Xenopus tropicalis: one gene and its partner. The protein of the gene in region 1 interacts with the protein of each later gene in a pairwise test. Links are inferred from orthologs where the notes say so. Each region holds a gene or a part of one and is shown on either strand. Other genes may lie near its edges.

What was found.
Region 2: the proteins of gorab (region 1) and scyl1 interact in a two-hybrid assay, tested with the Homo sapiens proteins (2 studies listed by BioGRID and IntAct). The link is inferred for Xenopus tropicalis from reciprocal best matches to the Homo sapiens genes GORAB and SCYL1.

What each region holds. Positions count from the first base shown.
Region 1 is NC_030680.2:118,363,951-118,368,232, reverse strand, and holds the start of gorab (RAB6-interacting golgin), read left to right. Parts: upstream 1-1,294; 5' UTR 1,295-1,339; coding exon 1,340-1,403; intron 1,404-4,282.
Region 2 is NC_030680.2:33,683,651-33,687,481, reverse strand, and holds part of scyl1 (N-terminal kinase-like protein), read left to right. Parts: intron 1-941; coding exon 942-1,100; intron 1,101-2,015; coding exon 2,016-2,123; intron 2,124-3,724; coding exon 3,725-3,831. UniProt on the Homo sapiens protein: Regulates COPI-mediated retrograde protein traffic at the interface between the Golgi apparatus and the endoplasmic reticulum. Involved in the maintenance of the Golgi apparatus morphology.

The DNA of each region.
Region 1 (4,282 bases):
ATCTCTCTTTACTTCATTCTAGAATCCTCCTCCTCTGAGCATACCCCTACACTGCTGAAATCCATATCATGGCTTCCCATAAATCAAAAAATAACTTACACCTTCTTATGACTTTTAACCCCCTTCATTACTCTGAACTTGAATGGTCTGTCTCAGGGATTCTCAAACTACGGCCCGTGGGCCAGATCCAGCCCCCCAAGGTAATTTACCCAGCCCCCACTGCGTCCTCATCCCTGGCTACTACCTGTGTACAGATGCAGTGGGGAGCAGGGAGTGCGCTGTAGTTTGAGGATGCGGGGGGGGGGGGGGGGGACTACGGTCCAACACACAAACAGTCTGAGGGACCATGAACTGGCCCCATGTTTAAAAAGTTTGAGGACCCCTGGTCTATCTGATAAATTAATTTTGGTAATTTTCTCAAATCCTATATTCAGGTTTTCTGGGGAGGACTTCTCCCACTGCCCAGTGACATGAATAGGAGACACAGGCAATGACTGGCTACTTCATGGATCATGGATCCCATTGGTTGACACATTCTAGTGAATGGGACCAAGCATATGAAAATAAAGAAGGCATGTGTGGTACAGATCAACGTGCCCCCCCATTCTGCTCGTCACATCACACCAGGGGTGTCAGAAATCTAGCTTTGTCAAGAGTGGGAAGCTAAACATCACTGTAATGCACCTTTCTGGGTATAATATTAAAAATGCTGTTTTATTTTGTTAGTGAAAACCAAATAGTAGATATTGTTTAAAATGGAAAAAAATATTTATTTTCTTAAACTTTTATAAAGGTGAACATCCCCTTTTACACAGTAATATGGCTGTCATTGAAATTTCAAATTGCTCTGTTCACTAAATTCCAACGATTCCAAGCAGAGATAATGACTGAGGTTATATATATATATATATTTGTATTTTCTCTATCGTAATTTAATCCACGCCAGGCTGACAGGTTATGCTGGAGCAGCAGGTATGTCGCCCTTGACCCCACTAGACACAACTGTGCTGGAACGTTTAGCTAAATTTACAGAATATTTTTGCTTTACTGCGCAACCATAGCAACGAGAAGCGTGTTCGAATATGTGCCTGATAGTAACATGGAATCCATTTTCATTTCATTCATTGTCTTTGAATTAAGGTATTATGTTCTCATGACTTTCGATTCCATGAGCACCACGCCAATATTTAATGGCTCGGCGTTTCATCAGCAGGAAAATGTACTGTATCCCTTTGTGTCAGGCATTCTCCCAAACAGCCTGAGCAGCGCTCCCTGAGGGGAGGGGCCTCTACGTGGCAGGGGAGGCGGAAGTAGGGCTGTGTGCTGGCAATAGGGAAACATGGCTGGCTGGGCAGGATTCTCCGAAGAGGAGCTTAGGAACCTTAAAACGAAACAAGGTACAGGTAGGGCATTGCACATTACTTAGATCTGCATTGCGCCATCCTCGCTGCGTTATACTTATGTCAGATAGATAGATGTCAATATATAACATGGAAACCCTGCCACACTAGATAGATATGTGTAAATAAATATATAGACACAGCACTCGTACGTCTTTATAACAAGTTGATATTATGGTTAGACTCATATCTAGGAGTCGATTTTGCACTAATAAAGGATAATATCAATTTCTTTTAAAGACCTGTGAGTGCTGTGTCCATTCCATGGTTATAGTTTGTAGTTTGATATCTATATCTGGCACCCAGGCATTTACAAAATGTTTTCAGAGTGTGCCCTTTTTTTACTATGGTGTGTGTGTATATATATATATATATATATATATATATTAGTCTTGTAAAGAATCGGCACTCCCCAATATCGGGGTAACGGCTGGGTGCTGACAAAAATAATGCATCAAACTCAACAGTAGAAAGCACTCACAGCTATAGCGTCAATCAAGTCAGTGATTTATTTCAGCATACCATCTACGAGTTTCGATCACCACAGGATCGTCATCAGGATGATGTGTGTATATATATATATATATATATATATATATATATATATATATATATATATATAGGCAGGGTTCCCATGTTATGTTTTATGTTTACACGCAGCTATATATATATATATATATATATATATATACACAAAGGATGGCACACCACTACATAACATACCTCGGGTGCTCGGTAAAGGGTTCCAATAGTATAAAAAAGACCAGCAACCCCCGGGATTTCTTGTGAAAAATCAAAACATATATTCAAAGTAGCATAAACGGCCAACGTAATGTTTCGGTCCCCACCTGAGAAAGGTCCCGATGAGGGACCGAAACGTTACGTCGGCTGTTTATGCTACTTTGAATATATGTTTTGATTTTTCACAAGAAATCCCAGAGTTGCTGGTCTTTTTTATACTATATATATATATATATAATATATATACAAACACACACACACCTATCTGTCTGTTAGGTGCGTGTGTGTTTGTTCGTTCATGGTTAGGCCCAAACGTAAAAGGATTGCTCTGTAAAATACTCCTCCCAGTACACACAATATTACAAATTTGTAAAAATACATTATTAGCTGTCCAATAAACATGGAGCTGTCTGCTGCAGTGTGCCAGAGTTGCTATGTTTTATGCTTTCTTGATTCAAGCCCTGTTATGAGCCCTGACATTTGGTACTGGATCCCCCTATAGCTTATAACAGCATTAGAGATTTATGACAACATTGCTGTATCAATCATTGTGTAAGGGCAATGTGACACAGGGCTGGTGCCAGGGCAGTGTTTAAATGCCCATAATCACCCATTTAAATAGGTATTTGCTTGGACCCTACCAGATCACTCATGAGTCAGCTGATCATGTGGAAACGTCACTGTATTTTCAAGCGGAAAGTCTTCTGAAGTACGGTTGCCATCTTTTCTGTAAAATGAAATACCGTTCTTCCTATATTCTTAATCTTCTTCCCTATTAAAAACATTAACAGCAAACATCATTTTTACTGGCCAGGCCAATGAAATACCAGTTGAGGTGTAAATAAGAGCATTTTGCTTCCTGCCTCAGAAGCAGAAAAATTCACAGGAGGCCAGTCGCACTGATGCCACTGCCCTTCAAGACTGAGAATAAAATGTTTCATTGAAATCTAACTGATTGTGCTTACAGCAGTATCTAGGAGATCAAACAGGCATTCTCCCCAAATCTCACTGTAAGAATTTGAGGCTGTCCACTCACCACTATTAGGGGCAGCCCCAAAGTTTGGGAACTGTTGATTTAGAAGGCAACTCACACCAAAGAGGTCTCCAAACACAGTCATAACATCACTATTATATAAATCTTGCAAGCTTTTGTTTAGCTTTTTTTCTCCCCAATGACGGTTAAAAGGCATGTTTATTTTTCCTGTCTCTGTGCTTGAGGCTTGACCATGCATAAAGTTGCCGTGTGTGTTACACTTCTCAGACAACTGAAGAATATGAAGGGTATTTACCTTTATTTCACATAAGCAAACAAAATCATACATTATATATATATATATATATACACACCACACATTTTTATTAGAAAACTAATATTTAAAGGAAAAATACATGTCACTTTGAACCACCTTTATAGATACTAAAAATAAATCCACTGTGTTTCACTTGAAGTATTCCTATTCTGCAGTGAAAAAAAATCTCATAACATTCTGTCTGACCCAATGTACTACAACTTTCCCCATCTATAAGGATCCCTTGGCCCTCATAGATATTGTAAATGCTTAAAGGTATAAAAGGCCTTAAAACAATTTAATTAGAGCATGTGAAGGAATTTAGTTCAAGAGTTCCCAGTAACTACTGACATTTTATTAAATAGTAATTATAGTAATTGTGTGCTTATATTATACAGGCATTTTGTTGTTAACATATTAACAGCTATGATAATACCCAATGGGTGGAGAATGATGGAAATAACACTGAATAAGTAAATACTAAACTCACTTCATGCCAAGCTGCTAAACTGTGAAAATAAAACATATACTTAGGTGGAATGTGTTGGATTACACCTATACCAAGCATGCTAGTTATGCATAAATTGTATAAAAGTGTCAGGCTATATGATTATATAGTGAGACAAACACTGGCAAATGCCAATATTACCCCAGTGGTTTATAGTGATTTGAAAGTAACGTTACAGCGATGTTCATGATATGAAACATTTTTAGCTTGTTATACCCATTATTGACATTTCTGGAGTGAGGATTGGCACTGCTAAGGGCGGGACATGTGTATAAAAAAAAATTCACCACATGACAAGAATACACACACACACACACACACATATTAACAGAGTTAATATTTAT
Region 2 (3,831 bases), about 85 Mb from region 1:
AGGGCTCGAATCGGCAGCTTAAATCTGACCATGTATGGGCATCTTAAATTGGTTCCCCTCCCCCATCTTTTCCAGCTAACCTAGACATGCAGACACCTCAACTGCAGCTTATGCCCCTACTGAGAATAATTCCTGAATTTAAGGGGAACTCCATCCAGTTAAAGAGAATGCAACTCTAAGAAACTTTTTTTTTTCTAAGAAACAAGACAACTCCTGCTCTTTTCTTTATTCTCCTGATTAACCTCCCATAAGATATTTTTTCAGTGTCCTTTTTAGTGAACCATAGCCTTCAGAGAGGGCTCCAGAGATGGTCTAAGTCAATGATCCCCAACCAGTGGCTCGCAAGCAACATGTTTCTCACCAACCCCTTTGATGTTGGTCCCAGTGGCCCCAAAGTCTGTGCTGATTTTTGAATTTCTGACTTAGAAGCAAGTTTTGGAGGCAATAAGATCATGTGTACTGCTAAACAGAGCCTCTAGTAGTCTGTCAGTCCATATTGGGCTACTCTTTAACAAATCTGAGTTCTTATTGGTCACCTTTTAGGAAAGTTTTTGTGTTTGCGTTGCTCACATGTCACAGGTTGGGGATCCCTGGTCTATACATTGGCTCTTCCTATGAGCAAATCGCGCTTACACAGTTGTGAGACTGACACCAGTCCTTTTTGAGATCCTTTTCAGACTGCTTGTTTGATGCCTAGGAATTCCCTCTGAGTAAGCAGGCCATTGTCCTGCCATCTTTGCCACAGGCTCTAATTTTCAAGCATATTTTGGTGTCTTTAGGGGATCTTGGGAATTGAAGTACTAGCAGTTCACCTTGGCAGACTTCTGCCCAAGCACACTCAAGCAATAGATTAAAATAAATTACCTGTTATGAACAAATTGAAAACAGACAGCTTGGGCTAGGGAAACTGCCCATTTAACTTCTCGTTCTTGTTTCCTTAGATAAAGGACCCAGCAGAAAAGCAGACGTTTTTTGAACAGCTCAGTGAAAACTTAGACTCCTTCCCTGAAGATTTCTGTCGACATAAAATCCTTCCACAGCTGCTGACAGCATTTGAATTTGGCAGCGCAGGCGCTGTTGTTTTGCCCCCACTTTTCAAGGTAAGGTTGGTTCTCACAATGGTAGTGTGTGCCTACAAATTCTTATATTTCCATTTCCACCCTGAGATTCTACCATCTTAAAGTTAAAGGGAAAGTGCACTTTCAGCTTTTAGGGCTCTGGCACACGGGGAGATTAGTCGCCCGCGGCAAAACTCCCTGTTCGCAGGCGACTAATCTCCCCGAGTTGCCTTCCCCTCGCGAGTCTTTTTCGGCGATTTGCGCGAAATCGCGCCGCCGCGTCTGCCATCCCGCCGGCGACTTACATTGTCGCCGATGGGATGGCAGGGGAAGGCAACTCGGGGAGTTCCAGAGCCCTTAGCGATACAGACCGCTATGTTTCCAACATGGCCAAACACCTTCAGACAATTGCATTGCGGGTGGGTATGTAGTAATTTGTTGCCACCCACTGAGCTATAATTCACACTATTCAAACTAACTTGGATATGTACCATTGTTTTTAGTTTGCATTCTGGTTGCTATGGATAATGACCCCAACAGGGTAGGGAAAGGCCATAATTATATATATATATATAAATTATATGCATTATTAACAATATACAATGCAGTTACTTTAACTTATAGTAGCTTGTACACATACTTAATTCATTTCTAAGGTGCACTTCTCCTTTAAGGTGTGGTAGCTTGTGTTAGATGTTTATGCCATAAATAAACAGGCACAGTGAGCGGTTTTATGTGACGTGGCAGTGCATTACTGTGTCTGAACAACATATCAAGTATTTGCTAAGGCAAAAATTCTGCCAGCACTTGTGACAAATGTGGAAGTGTACTCTGACTCACCCCCTCCCTAATTTGGTTTGTTCCAAAGCTTTAATTTCATATTGTATTGTTTGCCGTACTGCAGATATGCCCAGAGCATAGCACAGCAGCATTTTAACATTTCGTGTGTTTTTATAGATTGGGAAATTTCTGAATGCTGATGAATACCAGCAAAAAATCATTCCAGTTGTAGTTAAAATGTTTTCCTCCACTGACCGTGCCATGAGGATACGACTTCTGCAGCAGGTGTGTGCCAGCCTCCTTCCATTGCTTCACTGTGCTTTGTTAATATGAAACCTGTATGGGTCCTTATGTGTTTTATTTTCACCAACTGCACTGCTCATATGAAAATAAATGTCCATTCCTTTTACTTTCTAGTCAGCACTTACTAGATGTCACTACTCTTCATCTCATCTGCATAGCCAGTGCATTGGATGGGCATTAGGCCCCATTCTGGCACATACACAAGATTTTGGGGTGATACAAAGCTTGCCTTAATAAGTATCCACAAAGTGGCACCTTCTTGCTGTGATTGTGTAATTCCAAGATGGAAGGGAACAAAATATAAATAACATATATAGTGTAAGTAAAGTAAACGATTGAAAGGGATTTAGAATTATTTCTTAGGGTGGCAGTAGTAAGTAGTTACAATAACTCTCATCAATTCTACATTCACTTATTTTAAAGTTTTACTTATCCTTTAAGTATAGGATTGGGTGATATAAAAGACAAGATGATTCTGAAGGAGAACAAATGCTATGCAGGGTTTTCCAGAATGGTAAAGGATAGTAATGGGTTTGTTGTTGCCAAACTTCTGGATATAATAATTCTGTGATACATTGATATACTAAGCAATTGGCAGGTTGCTAAAGTGCTGCTGTTCTTTAACTTTCCTCAGCAGACTGTAGGCCTGTTAGTGTGCCTTATGGGGGAGGCATACTATAGAAAATATTGGAATTTAAAATACAGGAAAATACAATTTTCTAAAAACAGAAGTGATTCTAAAACCTAAATCATAGTACAGGTATAGGACCTGTTATCCAGAATGCTCAGGACCTGGGGTTTTCTGGATAAGGGGTCTTTCTGTAATTTGGATCTCCATAACTTAAAATCATATAAATATTGAATAAACCCAATAAGATTGTTTTGCCTACAATAAATTTACTATACCTTAGTTGGGATCAAGCACAGGTACTGTTTTATTATTACAGAGAAAAGGGAATCATTTAACCATTAAATAAACCCAATAGGGCTGTTTTGCCTCCAATAAGGGGTAATTATACCTTAGTTGGGATCAAGTACAGGTACTGTTTTATTATTACAGAGAAAAGGGAATCATTTAACCATGAAATAAACCCAATAGGGCTGTTCTGCCCCCAATAAGGGGTAATTATATCTTAGTTGGGATCAAGTACAGGTACTGTTTTATTATTACAGAGAAAAGGGAATCATTTAACCATGAAATAAACCCAATAGGACTGTTCTGCCCCCAATAAGGGGTAATTATATCTTAGTTGGGATCAAGTACAAGGTACTGTTTTATTATTACAGAGAAAAAGGAAATCATTTTTAAAAATTAGAATTATTTGCTTATAATGGAGTCTATGGGAGATGGCCTTTCCGTAATTCAGAACTTTCTGGATAATGGATTTCTGTATAAGGGATCCAATACCTGTAATAGCAACCCTGCAGCGGCAACAAGGTGAATGTCCTGTAACGGCCCAGTCAGACCTCTCATCTCGATCCAACTGAGAATCTTTAGCACCATTTTAAAACTAAAGGCCATACTAGTAATTCAGCTGTAATCTGATAATAAAGTACATTAAATCTTTATTTTTATGTGGCAGATGGAGAATTTTATCCAGTATTTAAATGAACCAACAGTCAATGCACAGATTTTCCCTCACGTCGTACATGGTTTTATGGATACCAACCCTGCTATTCGGGAGCAGAC